5 linked regions of the Callithrix jacchus genome follow. The protein of the gene in region 1 interacts with the protein of each later gene in a pairwise test. Links are inferred from orthologs where the notes say so. Each region holds a gene or a part of one and is shown in the gene's direction. Other genes may lie near its edges.

The links. The genes of interacting proteins can lie anywhere in the genome.
Region 2: the proteins of UBE3A (region 1) and TAT interact in binary tests that used the Homo sapiens proteins (3 or more experiments, as listed by UniProt). The link is inferred for Callithrix jacchus from reciprocal best matches to the Homo sapiens genes UBE3A and TAT.
Region 3: the proteins of UBE3A (region 1) and MCM6 interact in binary tests that used the Homo sapiens proteins (3 or more experiments, as listed by UniProt). The link is inferred for Callithrix jacchus from reciprocal best matches to the Homo sapiens genes UBE3A and MCM6.
Region 4: the proteins of UBE3A (region 1) and UBQLN2 interact in a two-hybrid assay, tested with the Homo sapiens proteins (2 studies listed by BioGRID and IntAct). The link is inferred for Callithrix jacchus from reciprocal best matches to the Homo sapiens genes UBE3A and UBQLN2.
Region 5: the proteins of UBE3A (region 1) and YWHAZ interact in a two-hybrid assay, tested with the Homo sapiens proteins (2 studies listed by BioGRID and IntAct, with this or other methods). The link is inferred for Callithrix jacchus from reciprocal best matches to the Homo sapiens genes UBE3A and YWHAZ.

What each region holds. Positions count from the first base shown.
Region 1 is NC_133507.1:4,587,563-4,591,062, forward strand, and holds part of UBE3A (ubiquitin-protein ligase E3A), read left to right. Parts: intron 1-881; coding exon 882-1,087; intron 1,088-1,697; coding exon 1,698-1,862; intron 1,863-2,953; coding exon 2,954-3,109; intron 3,110-3,207; coding exon 3,208-3,281; intron 3,282-3,500. UniProt on the Homo sapiens protein: E3 ubiquitin-protein ligase which accepts ubiquitin from an E2 ubiquitin-conjugating enzyme in the form of a thioester and transfers it to its substrates.
Region 2 is NC_133521.1:30,321,224-30,325,297, forward strand, and holds the start of TAT (tyrosine aminotransferase), read left to right. Parts: upstream 1-1,274; 5' UTR 1,275-1,357; intron 1,358-2,022; 5' UTR 2,023-2,034; coding exon 2,035-2,269; intron 2,270-2,423; coding exon 2,424-2,528; intron 2,529-4,074. UniProt on the Homo sapiens protein: Transaminase involved in tyrosine breakdown. Converts tyrosine to p-hydroxyphenylpyruvate. Can catalyze the reverse reaction, using glutamic acid, with 2-oxoglutarate as cosubstrate (in vitro).
Region 3 is NC_133507.1:94,642,129-94,646,244, forward strand, and holds the start of MCM6 (DNA replication licensing factor MCM6), read left to right. Parts: upstream 1-1,316; 5' UTR 1,317-1,412; coding exon 1,413-1,519; intron 1,520-4,116. UniProt on the Homo sapiens protein: Acts as a component of the MCM2-7 complex (MCM complex) which is the replicative helicase essential for 'once per cell cycle' DNA replication initiation and elongation in eukaryotic cells.
Region 4 is NC_133524.1:56,701,807-56,706,089, forward strand, and holds the start of UBQLN2 (ubiquilin-2), read left to right. Parts: upstream 1-1,483; 5' UTR 1,484-1,768; coding exon 1,769-3,643; 3' UTR 3,644-4,283. UniProt on the Homo sapiens protein: Plays an important role in the regulation of different protein degradation mechanisms and pathways including ubiquitin-proteasome system (UPS), autophagy and the endoplasmic reticulum-associated protein degradation (ERAD) pathway.
Region 5 is NC_133517.1:96,015,808-96,019,923, forward strand, and holds the start of YWHAZ (14-3-3 protein zeta/delta), read left to right. Parts: upstream 1-1,316; 5' UTR 1,317-1,448; intron 1,449-2,794; exon of another isoform or gene 2,795-2,945; intron 2,946-4,116.

The sequences.
Region 1 (3,500 bases):
CTCAAGCCATCCTCATGCATCAGCCTCTCAAAGTAGCTGGGACTACTGTAGGGGCATGCTACCACACCCAGCTAATGTTTGTGTTCTCTGTAGAGATGGGGTTTTGCCATCTTGCCCAGGCTGGTCTTGGACTCCTGAGCTCAGGTGATCTGCTTGTGTCGGCCTCCCCAAAGTGCTGAGGTTACAGGCGTGAACTACCACGCCCCACCCCAGTTTTCCAGTGAGTGATATAAAGGTCTCCACGATTGGGGTTTGCATAATGAAGACCATGTGAAATTGAAATGACTTTTGTTTTACATACTGGCCCACAACACAGGTATTAAGTAGCTTTGCTTATCTACGTTTATCAGATTAATCTAAGTTTATGTACTTCAGATCATCTGATGTTGTTAGGAAAATGCTAGAAGAATTTCATGGCAGCACTATCTAACTTTCAAAAACAGACTTTCCTTACTGTGATTAAAAGCTGTTTTTTAAAAATAATACATGTGGTACCAATATATTTTCATAAATGAAACACTTTGGAAATATAGCCCTTGGGTTTTATGTTTATGTTTTAGCTATGGGTAGATAAAGTGTGAATGTAACTTTTCTTATGTGTTAGTAGAAAATTAGAAAGCTTGAATTTAACGAATGTGTTTTTCTACTCAATGCCATTCAATTACTTAGGACTTTCTTTGACTTCATAAAATTACATACCACATCTGCCACAGTTTATAACATATATGTGGACAGTGTTTTCTCAAGTGCTAATAGAAATCAATGTATGCATAATTACATATATTTTTAAATGTTTTATATGTGTAATTACTTTAAATTTGTATTTATCACTTCTTAATAAAATACAAAAGTAATGTATTTTTAAAAATTATTTCTTATAGGTATGTTCACATACGACGAATCTACAAAACTGTTTTGGTTTAATCCGTCTTCTTTTGAAACTGAGGGTCAGTTTACTCTGATTGGCATAGTACTGGGTCTGGCTATTTACAATAACTGTATACTGGATGTCCATTTTCCCATGGTTGTCTACAGGAAGCTCATGGGGAAAAAAGGAACTTTTCGTGACTTGGGAGACTCTCACCCAGTAAGTTGTCATTTTTTTAATTCAGTCTCTTTGATTTTATTTTAAATGCAAATATACAATTTAATTTATATCAAAATTTTAAAAGTTTTCATTTAGAATCTTTAAGTTTTAATCAGACTGAAGTACCATGAACACTTACAAACTCTAAAAGGGGAAATTTTTATATATTGCTGTCAGCATGAAGCTTTTTAAGACTGATTCCATAGAGAAATGTTTCTAAACATTTTGTTTATATTTTAGTGAAATCTTATGAGATAGGTAAAATCAGAGCAGCCCTGGCTAAGGGTCTTGGTAGCTACCACTAGTGTGCCTGCTCCCACCTCCCCCACCCCCACGTTGAGACACCACAGAATTTCTCATAGAGCACAGTGTGAAATCGAATGCTAAATTGGTGGTGTGGGTTTTTCAGCAGAGAATGGGACATCCCAGTGACTGCCAGTGTTTCTTTTGTAGGTTGGAAACTATTGGGGACTGGAGGAATACTAACTATCCTTGTTACAGTTTTCATTGATAAGTTTTTTGTTTTTATTGTCTTAAGAAGGGTGATGTAAATTATTTGTTGTATTTTATAGTTCTATAGTGGCCTCAATTTACCATTTCTGGTTGCTAGGTTCTATATCAGAGTTTAAAAGATTTATTGGAGTATGAAGGGAATGTGGAAGATGACATGATGATCACTTTCCAGATATCACAAACAGATCTTTTTGGTAACCCAATGATGTATGATCTAAAGGAAAATGGTGATAAAATTCCAATTACAAATGAAAACAGGAAGGTAATGTTTTATGTCATCATGTTTGTCTCTTCATTAACAATTTCAAAGCATGTATGCTTATAATTTTTAAAGGAGTATCTAATATAGTCGGTACAAAGAAACACAAGAAATCCAGTAACCAAGTTTATGTAAATGCTGGAGTCCAGTCTCCTAAATCTTGGATGTAAGTTGGTATGAAAGCTCACAGTTAGGCACTAAATCCAATTTAGAGAAAGAGGACGTGACGTAGGAGATAGTTCATAGCTAAGTGTGGTTGTAGGATAAAGCAAGAAGCAGGGTATTTTCCATATTAAGCTGTAAGCAGGAACCTCATGATAAAGGACCTTGTCACAGACAAATAAAAATTACATTTAATTTACAATGTGTATCCTGTTTGTGATATAAAGACATTTCTGAAAAGTATTTTTTACATCAGATCTGCGTTTCTGTTGTCTAAAATGTGTTAGTCTGGAATGGGAATAACCCAGAACAGGAAAAATTATGACAAAGATATAGTACACCTTTTAAGAAACATGTTTCTATTGATATTTTTTGATGAAATATTATACACACTAAGGGTACAAAGCACATTTTCCTTTTATGATTTGATAGAGTAGTTTGTGTCAGTCAACACTTCAGTATTTTCACTGAACTGGATACAGTAGGCCGCTTAGCAAATATTCTGTGGTAGAAAACATGGGACTTCCTGGTTTGCTCAAATCAAATATGTTGTACGCTCTTAAAATGTTAGCATTTATAAATAGATGGATACATGGTTTAAATGTTTCTGTTTGCATACCTAGTTGAGGGAACCTAAAAAGTTGTATGCATCTCTAGCATTTATATTTAGGTGTGTTTAATACAGTATCAGAACTGACATTATATCATGTATGACAGTTTCATGTATATGGCCTTTTCACAGCTTCATATTGGCTATAACAGAGAATTGTGAAATAGAAGTAGTAGTTTTCTTTGTAGGTGTAATATTGAATTGTTTCAAATATTCTTTAATTTTTTTTCCCGGAAAAACTGAACAGCTCTGCAGCCTACTAACTTGTGTTCTGTTTGCATAGCATATTTTAAGAGGTTTTTGTGATTAATGTTTCCTACAGGAATTTGTCAATCTTTATTCTGACTACATTCTCAATAAATCAGTAGAAAAACAGTTCAAGGCTTTTCGGAGAGGTTTTCATATGGTGACCAATGAATCTCCCTTAAAGTACTTATTCAGACCAGAAGAAATTGAATTGCTTATATGTGGAAGCCGGGTAAGAAAGCAGGCGTCTGCAGAAAGTCACGGATGGATTGTTGTTCGTAATGAAGAGCAGTGCAGGAGACACTAAGACATATTTTCTTGAATTTTCAGAATCTAGATTTCCAGGCATTGGAAGAAACGACAGAGTATGACGGCGGCTATACCAGGGACTCCGTTCTGATTAGGTGAGGCACTGAATTCTTCAGAGAAGGTCTGACTCACTCAAGGGCTGTGTGATTTTGCTTCAGACCTTTATCTCTAGGTACTAATTCCCGAATAAGCAAACTCACAAGTTCTCATCTGTATACTTAGATTTGTTTTGTAATATCATCACCAATTTTCAGAGTTAATCTTGTGGTGAAGTGTTGTTATATGTGAGTCTCACGTTTCCTGCTGCATTTGGG
Region 2 (4,074 bases), on another chromosome or scaffold:
CACAGTCAATGTATAGAAATTTATCTTAAGGAAATAAGAAAATATGTAAACCAACATTTATGACAAGAATGCCCTTGGCATCATTCTGTTCTATCTGGCCCAAGACGTGAATAATTTTGTCTAGTGTATCCATGCTGTAGACGTTACCTGCCATTCCTGTATAAGGGAAAATATAGTGGATCTAGGGTTCAGTACTACCCATGGTTTCAGACACCCATAATTTCAGGCATCCACTGGAGGTCTTGGAGTGTACCCCCTGCAGATAAGGGGGGACTACTGTACTCAACACCACTGGGGGCTTGAATCCCTGAAAAGTGGATGGAGAAAAACAAACTGATGTGAAAAATCTTTGTCTTCCAACAAATAAACAGATAGGATCTGTGCCCCTGGGTGATGATTGAGGCTTCTCTTAACTTTCAGCGGGTGGTATTTTCCAGTGCTCACAGGAATGTTGAGATTTTTGGCTGTGGACCTTGTGTTTTGCTTAGTCAAGTTGTTTTGTGTAGATTGCACCTGACATTTTATTCTTCCAATAACCATAGGAGGTAAATGAATAATTCATACACAGTGCAAGGATACAACTGCACAGGGTTCAGCTGCCTTGGAAACCCTGTGCTGTTCAGATATTTGTTGAATGGAACTTAAGCGCTCAATTTGTTCTGATTGGAGCAAAAATTTGTGGACTGACAAGGAAAGGAGTCCAAGATGTAGGAAGTAAAAAAAAAAGTTACTAGACAAGGTGTAGAGCACGATCCTATCTGTGTTTTGAAATCTACAAAATTATGTATCTATAGCTATGTATGTATCTCTGAATGGAGAGAAAGAGCCCAATCATTACCACTGCCTACCCCTGGGAGTGAGAATGAAGTGTAGAGGGAGCAGGTGCAGGGAAGAATGCTCACTTCTTACTTTATGTACTTCTGTACTGTTAAAATTTTAACAGGTCATCCTGTAACAACAACAAAAAATTTAATAAAAATCATCAATTATAATCAGAACTACCCTTTGACAGTAAATGTTCTCAAACCATCTCACCAAATGCCCAGAAAGAGTTAACACAGGAGAATTTCAGATGTTTGAAGTGAGGATGAATTCCTGCTTTGCGGGTGGGAGGTGGGCTTAGGGATGAGAGGCAATGAGGAGGGGAGAGGAGGGAAGAAGCTGAGGGGAGGGTTGGCTGCTGAGCTCTCATTCCCAACCAATGGCATGAACGTTTCAGGCCCAACGCCCATTTGTGGAGACTATTTCAGGAGTCTGGATTTGCATCTGAGTTCATTGCCACTGAAACCTGCCAGAGAAGAGCTAAGGGAGCTTTTGGGGTTGGCTTCTTGGAGGCTGCTTCTCCTTTACTTGGAAGGTAAAAATCTCAAGCCCAAGCTGATCAGGTGGTGGTGATTGATTGGGCTGTTTACTTTTTTCTTTTGGGTGTATGGATTTCTTGTTCCAACCAGGGCCATAAGAGGCTTATGGGATAGGGTTTTACTTTTACTAACAATGATATTTACATGGAGCTTCTAATAAGGTGGAGTAGTAGTTCTTCCTGGTCCATTCAGATGACAAAGCGCAGATTGTCAAAGCGTTAAGTAGATTTTGTTGGATAGGCTCGCATGGAAATGAGGGAGCGCCTATGCTTTGATGATTAACAATTTTCATATTATTCCTTCTTGGTTTCACACAAAGCATGGTTCAGCTTTTACAGGAATTACACATGAGTGTAGCAAATCCTACTCAAGTATTCAACGGAATGCTTTCTACTAACACTGTAGAATGAGTTCTTGCTTTATTTTCCATCTTAGTAAAAAGTCTTTAAAACTCTCTTAAGTTTTTAAGTTAAAAAAAAAAAACAACTCCTTTCATAGTAAAGATACTTTACAAGAGAAAGTAGGAAAAAAAAAAAGAAAGAGAGAGTTTGGAAAGACACTTTCAGTGAAGTCACCCTGATGTTTAGGTCCAAATGTGGTTTCTCTCTCCCCCAGTGCTATGTTTCCAACATCTCAGGGACCTTCTTCTTCCCCCTCCCAGGCTTCACTTGTGATGGACCCATACGTGATTCAGATGAACAGCAAAGGCAACCTCCCCTCAATTCTGGACACGCATGTCAACGTTGGTGGGAGAAGCTCTGTGCCGGGAAAAGTGAAAGGCAGGAAGGCCAGGTGGTCCGTGAGGCCCTCAGACATGGCCAACAAAACTTTCAACCCCATCCGAGCCATTGTGGACAACACGAAGGTGAAACCAAATCCAAACAAAACCATGATTTCTCTGTCCATTGGTGAGTTGGGGATACTACTGAGGGAATGTTATAGTCCCCTCTGCTCTCATATTCACAGGCTGGTTGGAGAAGATGGGAGGTGGGGGGTGAGGCTGAGTACTGAATATGGGAGAGTAATCTCTTGGTTCCTTTTGTTTTTTCCTTCCATAAAAAGGGGACCCTACTGTATTTGGAAACCTGCCTACAGACCCTGAAGTTACCCAGGCAATGAAAGATGCCCTGGACTCCGGCAAATATAATGGCTATGCCCCATCCATTGGTAAGCTCCTCCTGAGACTCTGTACCTGGTGGCTGCCCAATGTTTAGTGTTGTTATAACAGGACCAAATGTCTAGCAATTCTCTTCACTTTCCTGATGTCTAATTTCTAAGGAGAAGCTAAGATTACATGGCCCTTTGGATTTGGAAAAGGGGTCTCAGGATGCTTAAATACAAGGCATCAAGGTCCAGCTTCTTTCCTGGCTTCCTTTGGCATATGGGCACTTTCCCTCTAGGCTCCCAAACATACTTATTTGTCAAATAAAGGTCACCTCCTATCATTACTAATTCTAATATGAAGGTCTTGTGTCTGGCAGGAGCTTTGTGTTTATTAAGCCTTCTAGGTGCTAAATGGTTTTACTTATTACCCTGTGTACATAGCCTCTTTGCTACATTTCTTCTCTATGTATTGAAGGCCTATTTTCATTATGGCCCTGAGCACATTGAAATGCAATTGTTACTGTTTAAGACTCAAGAGGTTAAACAAACACCCAAGAACAAGAAAAAAATGGGCTGTGAAATTGAAGGATGGAAGGTTGTTTCAGATAGATAGAAATTACTTCTTTTTAGGTTTAATTCTCTCTATTAAAAATTTCTACCCCGAATATTTTGGTAAAGTACATGATTCCTTGACTTTCAGTGTTGCACATTTTTTTCCTTATGTGTACATAGAAACAATTCTAAATGCAGAATAAAACCCAAGTTTCATGATAAAATCAAATTTTAAAAACACTTTAAAGAGTTATATCGGGGACTTCGTGTTTTTTAAGGTTGATGACTTAAATTTTTTAAAGTTTCTTGCCAGGCGCGGTGGCTCACGCCTGTGATCCCAGTACTTTGGGAGGCTGAGGCGGGTGGATCACGAGGTCAAGAGATCGAGACCATCCTGGTCAACATGGTGAAACCCCGTCTCTACTAAAAATACAAAAAATTAGCTGGGCATCGTGGCACGTGCCTGTAATCCCAGCTACTCAGGAGGCTGAGGTAGGAGAATTGCCTGAACCCAGGAGGCGGTGGTTGCGGTGAGCCGAGATTGCGCCATTGCACTCCAGCCTGGGTAACAAGAGCGAAACTCCGTCTCAAAAAAAAAAAAAAAAAAATCAAAACAAAATCAAGACCAAAATTTAAGTTATAAAAAAAGTTTATAATGACTTTAATATCCAAAGTATTGGGAAACTGATTTAACCTGAAAAACCAAAATCAAGTCTCCATTTGACAAATGTTCAAAGATTCTGAATGTTTCATTCCAAAGGAGATACAGGTGGTAATATATGTTTAGAAAAGTGTTCCTCCTCATTAATAATTAAGGAAGTACTAATTTATATAATTCTGAGAGACCCATCTATACCTATTAAGTTAGTAAACATTATGTTGCTAACTTGTCTTTTTGAACATACATTTTGCAAAATATTGTAATGGGCATGAAACTGCTGACATTTCAAGCTTATAAGCTAACATTTGGAAATACTGGACAAAAATAATATGAAATAAAAATTTGTGCAAAAATACTGACAGCAATATTACATAACATAAAAAACTTAAAATGGAC
Region 3 (4,116 bases), about 90 Mb from region 1:
CATCAGTACCCAGATGTTAATTAATGCCAAGGGAGTGAGAAGGGTCACCCAAAAGAACTTTATGGAAAAAGCAGGCTCTGGAACTAGAACATTTAAAAGACTCGCTGAAGAAGAGGCACCTACAAAAGATGCTAACCAAGAATAGCCAACGAGGTGGCAGAAAAACCGAGTGAAATCAAAGAGATGGCAGAAAATCCAAGTGAAACCAAAGTCAGGAAAAGATGGGGGAAAGAATAAAAGAACTGAAGCCAATAGTGCATTTTAAGAAGGGGATTAAAGCCAGACGCTGTGGCTCATGCCTGTAATCCCAGCGCTTTGAGACGCTGAGGCGGGCAGATCACCTGAGGTCAGGAGTTTGAGACCAGTCTGGCCAACATGACAAAACCCTATCTCTACTTAGCCCGACATGGTGATGAGTGGGCAGTGAGCTGATTGTGCCACTGTACTCAAGCCTGAGCGACAGACTTCATCTGAAGAAAAAGATTAAATCAGAGTCAAATATTTATTTGTTTTTCATTTATTTATTTATTTAGAGATGGAGTCACAGTTTGTAGCTTAGGCTGGAGCGCAGTGGTGCGATCTCGGCTCACTGCAACCACCGCCTCCTGGGTTCAAGCGATTCTTCTGCCCCGGGGTTCCTGAGTAGTTGGGATGACAAGCATGCGCCACCACGCTTGGCTAATTTTTGTATTTTTAGTAGAGACGGGGTTTCTCCATGTTGGCCAGGCTGGTCTCGAACTCCTGGCCTCAGGTGATCCATCGGCTTCCGCCTCCCAAAGTGCTGGGATTACAGGCATGAGCCACTGCGCCTGGCCAGTGTCAAATATTTCGCTGATTTTCTTCGGTCAGCACCACCATAATAATTGTGCCACCTTACCAAGGCGCTGTTTAGACATATCTTTGACTCTTTTACAGGGTTTTACCCCATGGTTTCCAGCTTATTTCCTCCAACCAGACAGCAAAAGTTGGAGATTTGAATCTTACTCATTTTTCTTTTCCAAAGGGTTTTACTCCGATCGTTCAATTAATATCAGTCAAATTATTTAAAGAACATTTGAAAAACCACTCGGATAAAAACCTCAGATTCTAACGTGTTCCACCAGCCAAAATATCCGCGGGCCACGGCGACACTGCGCAGGCGCAAAGGCAGACCTGTGCTTTCTCCGGAGGACTTTGCATTTGGCGCGAAATCCCTTTCCGTGGGCGGGGCCCTGGGAGACCAATCAACGCCGTTCATTGGACAGGTTTGGCGCGAAATCTTTGGTTCCTGCGTCACGATTGGTTCTGGCCGTGCCAGTCGGAAGAGGGGGCGAGGCGGAAGCGGCGGCGGCGCGCGAAAAGCTGCAGCGTCTGGAAAGAAGCGGCTTGTGGCGGTCGAGCGTGGCGTGGCGAGTTTTCGGCGCCAGGCAAATATGGACCTCGCGGCGGCAGCGGAGCCTGGCGCCGGCAGCCAGCATTTGGAGGTCCGCGACGAGGTGGCCGAGAAGTGCCAGAAACTGTTCCTGGACTTCTTGGAGGAGTAAGTCGGCGAGCGCGTGGGGCCTTCCCCGCCGCCAGCCTCCAGAACCCGCGGTATCTGGGCCGGGCGGGGCCGTATGGCCCGCGGGCGTTCGGGAACCTGGGGGTCGCAAGCCCGGGAAGCGCCACCCCGCCCGCCCCCAACTTTAAGCTCCGAGCCCGGCGGCCGCGAGGACCCTGGGACAGGCTGGGCTTTTTTCAGGACTAAAACCTATCTCGAGCCCTAAGACGCTGGTGCCCAGTGCTCAGCGCTTTGTTTCTTTCACTTGATGTTCACCACCCCGTGAGCCCGCTATTTGCATAGCCCCGGGTGACCGGCGCGGAAACCCGGGCTCGCTGAGGATAAGTAACTGGGCCGCTGGGTGCGGCTGGGTCGAGTGGGAGGCCGAACTGCTATTGAATCCCGGCGGAGCCCTGCTGGGCCACGCAGCCAGGTGCTGGGGGCGCCCGGGGCCCGGGCCACCCTCGCTTCTTGTGCTGACGAATGTTTCAGCGTGAACTGTGGTCTGAAAGCTTAGCAGGGAACTGCTTAAAAAAAAAAAAAAAAAAAAAGCTGCTGGGGCTGGATCCCTGCCCTGTAGAGTAGCTGACCATATTCCTTGTTCTGGGTCCCTTGCTCCTCTCTCCCTCTGGCCTTCCTTTCCTTACCCTACCCCTCTTTTTTCTGTGCCTCTGGGCTCCTGGCCTTATAACCCCAGCCTCCTTCCTGACTTGCCTCACCCACCGGTTACTTTTCCGAGAGCAGATATACCACGGCCTACAGGATGAAGGGTCAGCAGTTTGGAATGGTTTATGAAATAATTTTTATTGTAAAATATACATAACAAAGTTGACCATTTTAGCTATTTTTAAGTGTACAGTCCAGTGGCATTAAGGGCATTCACCTCGTCGTGCAGCCGTCACCACTCTATCTCCAAACTCTTTTCATCTTCCAAACTGGCATTCTGTGCTCATTAAACACAAACTCGCCTCCATTACCCCCTCCTTCAGCCACCACTCTGCTTCCTTTCATTATGTGTTTGACCACTCTAGGTACCTCATATAAGTGGAGTCGTATGGTGATTGTCCTTTTGTGTCTGGCAGGTTTCATTTAGCATAGTGTCTATAAGGTTCTTCTGCGAAGGTAGTATGTGTCAGAATTTTCCTTTTTAAGGCTAAATAAATAACATCATTGTACAGGTTGAGTATCCCTTTTTAGAAACGCTTGGGACCAAAACTGTTTGGTATCTTGGATTTTTGTTTTTCAGATTTGGAGTATTTGCGTTATGCTTAACCAGTTGCATTCCTAGTTTGAAATGCTCCAGTGAACATCATGTCAGCACTCAAAAGTTTTGGATTTTGGACCATTTCGTATTTTGGATTTTCAGATGAGGGCTGCTCAACCTGTATATATACTACATTTTGCTTATCCATTCAATGGATGCAGGTCGATTCCACCTTTTGGCTATTGTGAATAATACTGCTGTCTTATGAAATCTTGATAATACTAAAACCATAGTTTAATTTCCATTTCACTATCTATGACAATGTTACTGTCTGCCTGACAATTCCTCCTTCAAAACCCAGCTAAAAATTCACACCTTTGTGAAACCTTGTACACCTTTTTGAGAGGCACTAATCCTTTCTTCCTTAGGCTCCCATGGTTGTTTTTCATTTACTTCCGGCAGTGTATTTATCTCTTAGTCAAATCCCATCCTCAACTCTGCCTACCTACCACACCACTTTACAAAGGTTCTTCAATAAATGTTTCATTTAAACACATAATGTAAGTGCCTTGACTTTGCAGCTAGATGATAATGATGAGACAATCCCTGTACTTTGTTTAAAAAAATGCCAACTCCCTATCACAAAATCAACTGATTCACCATTGCTTGTGGAATAAAGTTTAAATTCTTCACCACTCTTTCCTGTCTGTCCGCCAAAACCAGCCTCAATCATCATCCACACTTCTCCCCTATCTTCTCTGACTTAATCACATACTTGCAAACATCCATAGTCAAGTCACTTCACCACCTGTTTTTCGTTGAAATTTTTAACTCCTTCAGAAGCTGAATTCCAGTGCCACCTTTTACATGTATGACTCTTACAAATGTTCTTTCAGACAGAATTAGTTTCTATTACCCTAGCACATTTCTTGTTCTTCTCATTAACAGGACCATCTTTCTTGTCTGTCCTCATTGTTTACATGTCTGACTCCCTAGACAGATGATGTTAGTTAACCCTAGGGCAGGCAGGAACAACATTGCCATTTTCAGCCTCAGAGATACCACTGTCATAGGACTTTGCACATAGTTGTTTAACAAATATTTTAAGGAGTCAGAACATGCTGTTGCTGTATTTGGAGGAGGAATTTATTTTTTCTTAAAATGAATCTGCATATTGTTTGAAGAAACAAAAAATAAATTTATATGATATCCTGCTTGGGCTTTAGAAGGAAAAATACAAACAGCTTTATTTGTTGTGCATGTTTCAATTTTCCTGCAGTCTTGGGCAGTGAAGCACCTCATTTCTGTGTATTCTTATTTCTATTCTGCTTCTTAAATCTGTGACTAATCTATCATTTTGCAAATTCCCTACAGAAGTGGAATGTTTGGTTTT
Region 4 (4,283 bases), on another chromosome or scaffold:
GACTTTGAAATGCTGCTAAATGTTCAAAGCATTGGTGCTTTGATGGATGCCTGTTAGAGCGTAGGGGCTGGGAGAAGAATTTTCTGTGTGATTTAACCTAGAGTTAGAAATATATAGATAAATTTGAAATTATCTCTTCTATTTTTCCAGTTCTCTTCCTCAGCTTTGCTACATCTTTATTGCTTTTACTTAATCTGTAATGAAATTAGGTATATATGTCAATGTTTGCCACTACTGTTATGTGCCTGTCAATTTCTACCCATACTCTTCCCCAAAATACCTTTCACCAGTGCATACCTACAAAAATCATTAGAAAATTCAAAATTTTATAAAAATAGAAAATAATATTCATAATTTCAGTGAACTGTACTAACAGCCATTAACTTATTTGTGAATAGCCTTCCAGATATTTTTACACTTACAGTTTACATGTACAACAAACTGTTCAAAGATTGGTTTTCAAATAAAAATGTATTTATTGCATTTTTGATATTGTAACATATATTCTTGTATGGTTTCTAACTGTACAGAAATATACAAAGCCAAAATTGAAAATACTCTGTGATTTCCCTATAACTATAGTTTATTTCATATTTACCTTTAAAGACACTGTGTATTTTCTTGTGTGATAATATCATAATGTGCTCGACTAATCTCATGTAAACCGATATTTTAAATATTTAAATAACGTTTTAAAATGCTACAACGTATATACATTCTATACATAAATATTTTTGCATCCTTATCTGATTATTTTCTTAGGTGAGTGTCTAGGTTAGGCATTTCTAAATAAAGGTGGAAACATTCGAAATGCTGATATATATTTTCAAATTGCCCTGTGATTGTAACAATTCACACTTCAGCTAGCCTGAGAGTGCATTTTTTAGGGGTCCCTGTCAACAGGAAGGTTTACCATTATTTTTTTCCCCTGCCAATATAACCCAAAAGTAGAATTTTATTGTTTTAACTTGAATTTTTTTTTGATTACTAGTGAGATTAATCGTCCTTTTTTAATGTCTATTGACCATTTGCACTCCTTTTGTAAAATGCATGCTCCTGCTGTCTTCTTCCCTTCCCCCATTGGGGGTTGTTCCTCCTTTCTTTTTGCTTTGTCAGAGTTCTTTATTATTCATTTTTCGTCTTTTACGTGGGATCGGTTCGAATCAGGCTTTCACCCTTTTACTGCCTTACAGATTTCTAATGTTTATTCTCCATCGGTCTTTTAATGTCGTTTACAGAAGCTGACTCTCTACCGCCGCCTTCTCTCCGTCCCACCCTCTCTGCCTCGCCTGCTCTGTACTGTTCTGTTCTGTTCTCTCTCTCCCTTTGTTTCTCTCTCTCCCTTTTTTTTTTCTTTTCAGTGCAGAAGTTTTTAATTTTGACCGAGCCAAATCTATCAATCTAGGCCTGGCGCCGCGTCAGCAGAGAGGGCGGGGAGGCGAGCGCGGAACTGGGGGAGGGGAAGGGGCGGGGAGCAGCAGGCGGAGCGGCTGCCGGAGTTGCTGGGAGTGCGCGCGGTCGGATCACAAGGCGGCGGCGGAGGAGGCCTAGAGACTGGAGCGCGGAACCTCAGCCCGCGGCCTACGCCCAGTCCTTTCTCCGGAGGACCACGGAACCACAGTCTTCATCACAGAGGTACCGTGCTCCGCGCTCCCCGCCCGACCCGGCCCAGCCCGCTACGGCGGCGCCTCCTTCCTTCCTCCTTCCCTCGCTCTCTCTCTTTCGCCGGCCCGCGCCTTTCCTGCCCGCCTGCGTCACCGCGGCCGCCATGGCTGAGAATGGCGAGAGCAGCGGCCCCCCACGCCCCTCCCGCGGCCCTGCTGCGGCCCAAGGCTCGGCTGCTGCCCCGGCGGAGCCTAAAATCATCAAAGTCACTGTGAAGACTCCCAAAGAGAAAGAGGAGTTCGCGGTGCCCGAGAATAGCTCGGTCCAGCAGTTTAAGGAAGCGATTTCGAAACGCTTCAAATCCCAAACCGATCAGCTAGTGCTGATTTTTGCCGGAAAAATCTTAAAAGATCAAGATACCTTGATCCAGCACGGCATCCATGATGGGCTGACTGTTCACCTTGTCATCAAGAGTCAGAACCGACCTCAGGGCCAGACCACGCAGCCTAGCAATGCCGCGGGAACTAACACTACCTCGGCGTCGACTCCCAGGAGTAACTCCACACCTATTTCCACAAATAGCAACCCGTTTGGGTTGGGGAGCCTGGGAGGACTGGCAGGCCTTAGCAGCCTGGGCTTGAGCTCGACCAACTTCTCTGAGCTCCAGAGCCAGATGCAGCAGCAACTCATGGCCAGCCCTGAGATGATGATCCAAATCATGGAAAATCCCTTTGTTCAGAGCATGCTTTCGAATCCCGATCTGATGAGGCAGCTCATTATGGCTAATCCACAGATGCAGCAATTGATTCAGAGAAACCCAGAAATCAGTCACCTGCTCAACAACCCAGATATAATGAGGCAGACACTCGAAATTGCCAGGAATCCAGCCATGATGCAAGAGATGATGAGAAATCAAGACCTGGCTCTTAGCAATCTCGAAAGCATCCCAGGTGGCTATAATGCTTTACGGCGCATGTACACTGACATTCAAGAGCCGATGCTGAATGCTGCACAAGAGCAGTTTGGGGGTAATCCGTTTGCCTCTGTGGGGAGTAGTTCCTCCTCTGGAGAAGGTACGCAGCCTTCCCGCACAGAAAATCGTGATCCACTACCCAATCCATGGGCACCACCGCCAGCTACCCAGAGTTCTGCAACTACCAGCACGACCACGAGCACTGGTAGTGGGTCTGGCAATAGTTCCAGCAATGCTACTGGGAACACCGTTGCTGCAGCTAATTATGTCGCCAGTATCTTTAGTACCCCAGGCATGCAGAGCCTGCTGCAACAGATAACTGAAAACCCCCAGCTGATTCAGAATATGCTGTCGGCGCCCTACATGAGAAGCATGATGCAGTCGCTGAGCCAGAATCCAGATTTGGCTGCACAGATGATGCTGAATAGCCCGCTGTTTACTGCAAATCCTCAGCTGCAGGAGCAGATGCGTCCACAGCTCCCAGCCTTCCTGCAGCAGATGCAGAATCCAGATACACTATCTGCCATGTCAAACCCTAGAGCAATGCAGGCTTTAATGCAGATCCAGCAGGGGCTACAGACATTAGCCACTGAAGCACCTGGCCTCATTCCAAGCTTCACTCCAGGTGTGGGGGTGGGGGTGCTGGGAACCGCCATAGGCCCTGTAGGCCCAGTCACCCCCATAGGCCCCATAGGCCCTATAGTCCCTTTTACCCCCATAGGCCCAATTGGGCCCATAGGACCCACTGGCCCTGCAGGCCCCCCTGGCTCCACCGGCTCTGGTGGTCCCACCGGTCCTACTGTGTCCAGCGCTGCACCCAGTGAAACCACGAGTCCTACATCAGAATCTGGACCCAACCAGCAGTTCATTCAGCAAATGGTGCAGGCTCTGGCTGGAGCCAGTGCTCCACAGCTGCCGAATCCAGAAGTCAGATTTCAGCAACAACTGGAACAGCTCAACGCAATGGGGTTCTTAAACCGTGAAGCAAACTTGCAGGCCCTAATAGCAACAGGAGGCGACATCAATGCAGCCATTGAAAGGCTGCTGGGCTCCCAGCCATCTTAATTACATTTCTGTACCTGGAAAAAAAATGTATCTTATTTTTGATAATGGCTCTTAAATCTTTAAACACACACACACAAAATCGTTCTTTACTTTCATTTTGATTCTTTTAAATCTGTCTAGTTATAAGTCTAATATGATGCATTTTAAGATGGAGTCCCTCCCTCCTACTTCCCTCACTCCCTTTCTCCTTTGATTATTTTTCCTTCCTTCCCTTCCTCTTGTGTCCCCCTCCCTCCCTCTTTGTTTCCTTCCTTCCTTCTTTCCTTTAGTTTCCTTTCTTATCTGTTTTGAATGGTGGGAATCAATGCTGTTTCACTCAAAAGTGTTGCATGCAAACACTTTCTTTATTCTGCATTTATTGTGATTTTTGGAAACAGGTATCAACCTTCACAGTTGGGTGAACAAGTGTTGTCCTACAGATGTCCAATTTATTTGCATTTTTAAACATTAGCCTATGATAGTAATTTAATGTAGAATGAAGATATTAAAATCAGAAGCAAATTATTTGAAGCTCTCTAATTTGTGGTACGATATTGCTTATTGTGACTTTGGCATGTATTTTTGCTAGCAAAATGCTGTAAGATTTATACCATTCATTGATCTTTTTTGCTATATTTGTACACAGTACAGTAGGCACAAT
Region 5 (4,116 bases), on another chromosome or scaffold:
TCCGGGCTCTGTCCCCGCTCGTCGCCCGGCCTGTGGCCCACTCCCATCGCCAGCTGGGGCCCTGGGGACTACGACGTCCTTCAAAGCTTGCTTTTAGAAGACAAAACGGTAATGATAGTCACGTTTTAAATCACTGCAGTGTGAGCTCTTCACGTGAACGCTTTATTTGGGTAGGAAAACCTAGCCTACGAGAAACAGGCCCGTGCGGTCACGCCTGACTGCTCGTCTCCGGGTCAGCTGTGCCAGGACCAGCTCCAGCCCCCCACCGGAGAAGGCGATCCTTTCCCCTCCGCACTCTGGCTTCCCTAAAGCGGCCGCGCCTCCTTCCAGGCCTGACCTCCCGCCGGCTCCGCCCGGCCCGGCCCACCTCGCCCCATCTCGGTGCCCACCCATTGTCCCCTCTCGCTGTCACCGAGCGCAGATCCCGAGCTCCCGATTGGAACACCTCCCCATCACTCAGCCACACTCCCGTTTCCGAGCCATAAAAGGTCTAGGGCCACTTCCCCGGAGCCAGCAGGTAAAGCCGCGGCGGCGTAAGGGAAGCAGGGAGCGGCCGCGCCCCCTGGTCGACCCAGCCGAGCAAGGGGAGCACACCACACACAGCCCTCCCTTGCCTTGCGACCGCGCCCTGTCCTCGCCCCAGGGCCCCCACCCTGCAAGTCCTGATCACAATGCCGGAGCCGCCGACCCACACTCGTCATCCTGCCCCGGGACGGCCCTGGGACAGTGACCACCGCGAAGCACCGAGGGCAGGGCAGGGCGGGCCGGGCCTCGGGGAGGGGGGCGGGGTGGGGGGGATGTGAAAGGTCCCGGATGTTGCTGAACTGGAGCCCCTTCCAGAGGAGTGAGAGGAGTGACTGGCGCAAGCGCAGACCGGCTGAGCGAAAGCTAACGTGGGGGTAGGGGTAGGGAGACAGCTGCCTTCCCACAGGCTCAGAGGTAGAGTGGGCCGGTGGAGGCTGCAGGGGAGAGGACGTCGGGGACCTAAGGGGAAGGCGAGGAGTCGGGGGGATCTGCGTTGGGGAGGAAAAGAAAAACAGAAGCTTCCCGCCTAGGTGCACTCCGGACAAGCGTAGAGGACCTGGGAGCCGAGCCGGGTGGGGGAGTGGCCGTAGCGGGCGAGGACGCGCGCTCCTCCGCTCGCCCTCCAGCGCGGGCGGGCAGGACGCGCGCCGGGGAGCGGCGGTTGCGCGAGGCCCAGATCGCTGTGGGCACTAATCAACGGTTGCCATAGCAGCGTTTGACGTCATCGTGCGTGTGGTGCCCCTGCTGCCGGGGCTGGTGATTGGAGGAAACCCCGTGTCTGCGGAGCGGCTGTAGCCTGTGAGCAGCGAGATCCAGGGACAGAGTCTCAGCCTCGCCGCCGCTGCCGCCGCTGCCGCCGCCGCCGCCGCCCAGAGACTGCTGAGCCCCTGTCCGTCCGCCGCCTCCACCCACTCCGGACACAGGTGAGGAACCCGTCCGCCGCCGCTCCCCGCTCCTCCTGTCCCAGGCCAGCCTTCTGAACGCGTGGGAGCCGTCCTCACCGGGTCCCCTCATCCCCGCTCGCCCCACGGTGGCGGCGCGGGGCTGAGGCGGAGTCTCCCCGGCAGACACGGGCGGCGGCTCCTCTTCCGCTGGGCTCGGGCGGGCGGCTAGCGGCAGCCTCCCGCGCCTGGTTTCCGCGTCGCCGCCCCGGCCCCGATCGGTGCTCGCTCCCCCGTCCCGCTCCCGGGGGTGGGGAGGGCGCCCACACGCGAGATCCCCGGGGATCCCCCGTCGCCTGCTCCCGAAGCCGGACGAGGCATGGCCGGGGCGCCGCCGGCCGCGATTCGTCCCCACCCTTGTTTCTGCTTCTACCCCCGCCCTCGCTGCCCTTCTCGCTTCCGCCCGAGATAATGACTCGGCGGCGGCGGCGGCGGCGGCGGGCATCGCGGGGGCGCAGGTGAGGCCGCCCCCTCCCCTGTCCCTCGGCCGCCCCTTCTTTCCCCTCCCCCGCTCTCCCTCCCCCGCTCTCCCTCCCCCTCGCGCAGCCTCCGCGCTGGGCGCTGCGGTGGCGGGACCCGGCCCTCCCCCACCCCGGGAGGAGGTAGCGCGGCGGGGAGGGGCCGGGGGCCTCGGGGACACAGGCGGGAGGGAAGGGCCTGGCGGAAGCGGACAGGAGCCCGGGCCCGGCCCGGCGGCGGGAAGGGAGCCCACTGCGGGGGGAGGCTGTGGGGTGGGGCTCGCCTGGGACCTGGAGCTGAATTTCCTGGGCTCCGCGGTGGGGGGAAGGGCTTGAATTTTCTCGGTGGGGACGGGGGATGGGGATGGGGATGATTTTCTTTCCTCCTTATGAACCGTCGGGGAAGGCGCGGACTGGGGCTGTGAGCCCAGGTTGGGGTAGAGCGGGGTGCGGATCCCGCGATAGGCTCTCGCGCCGGAGTCACTAGAACTGGAGGGTCCCTCCGCCGCTTCGGGGACGCACAGTGATCCTGAGCAGAGCGGCCGCCGGTGGCCCGCTCGACTGGGTGTGGCTCTCGTCCCCTCCCCCACCTGCAGCTGTCGGGCCCTTAGGGACGGTGCACGCGGGCACCGGCGCTGATCGGTGGCGGGGAGAGCGCTGGGTGGGAAGGCGGGGTGTGTCCGCGGTGAGGCTGCTAGTGGTTCCGCTTCTGCGGGCGTCTCTGGCGTCTCTGCCCCGGGGTCGGGTGGCTTGGCTTCCCCCCACGGCTCGAGCGGGGGCGGGGGCGCCGGCTGCTCCTCCCCCTTGCTCCGGTGGGGGGGGGAATTAACACTCAGCAGTAGGTTGGGCTCCCTGACACAGATCCGCCATGACAAAGGAGGAGAGTCGGGGACCTGAGCGGAGGCTCGGGCTTGGGCGGAGCCTGGAGGGGGGTGGTTGCAGATACGCGGACCCGAGGATTTGCACTTTAAAGTCCGGGTCTGCCCGTTTTCTTTTCACCCTAACCGATGTCTCAAGTCAGGTAAGGGTTAAATGGGTGCGGTGAGTCCTGCCCGCAGTGTAGAGGCGAGGCCTTGGAGCCATCGTTACTGTGTGAGAAACCTTATCCACTTCCTCTTGTACCCAAGTAGTGGGGGAGAGAATCCTTTGTGCTGGTTTGAAATCATTTTTCGTTAGAAGCAGAATTAGCCAGAGAGCGTGTCTCAGTTCCTAAGGGAAAAATTAATAATAGAGAGACCTGAGGAAAAGCATGTCGTCATAAAGGTTAAATAATTTTTATGGGTGAGCCAGTACCTTGCATCCAAATTAGCTAATTACTTGCTTAAAATGTGAGGACATGTTCTCTCATTTGGTTAAAAAAGTATTGTGGGATTTCCCTGGGAAGGTAAAAGGTAATTAATATTCGGGAGTCAGCTCCCAAGGTGGGTGGGTCAGAATAGCTCTTCTGTTCACCTTCTAATTTAAAATATACACTTCATTTATGTGTATATTTTCCTCTAAAGTCGTTTATTCTGCGGTCTCACTGTGTGGATTAGTGTCTTTGTGCTGTTTAGCAACTTTGAAAAGGATGTCCTTCCAGAAAAATGTAGCTGAGGTAAATTGAAAAGGTCTAGGAAACTATGTGAGGGAAGGAGTTAGGTGGGTAGTCACGGCAAAGGACAGCTTGAGTGATAGCATGCAGTTATTGTGACGGTGACAGCTAGAAGCAGGATGCGGCACTTACACATTGCAACTGGAGCCATGACATTGCAAACACTTGTAAATTAAGCACTTCCAATGTGATGTATTTTAGTACTCACAGTAATAGTTGAAGGGCCATGACTCGTGGGTATTTTTAAAGCATGTGGACATACAACACGATAAAGAGTTGAGGCATTAGGGTCGGTTAGATGTTGGTCCTTTGTGGTGGCTTTACAGTAAAAATATCTGAGAACAAGCAGTTTGGCTATTCCTCCCCTAAAGTGTTATGCTATTACGGCTGGCAAATGTTACAGAGATCTAGTAGATTTGGAATGAGGGGAAAACTAAAATTTAATCACTCCTTATTATGAAAGTTAAAAGACATAAATTACATTAAACTGACTTACGATTCTGGAAGTATGATAGAAATCCACATGTTCTGTAAGCAGTACGTTTACAAAAGGAAGAAAAGCTGCTTAATTTTATATCACTTAGTGGTATTGGAATTGAGT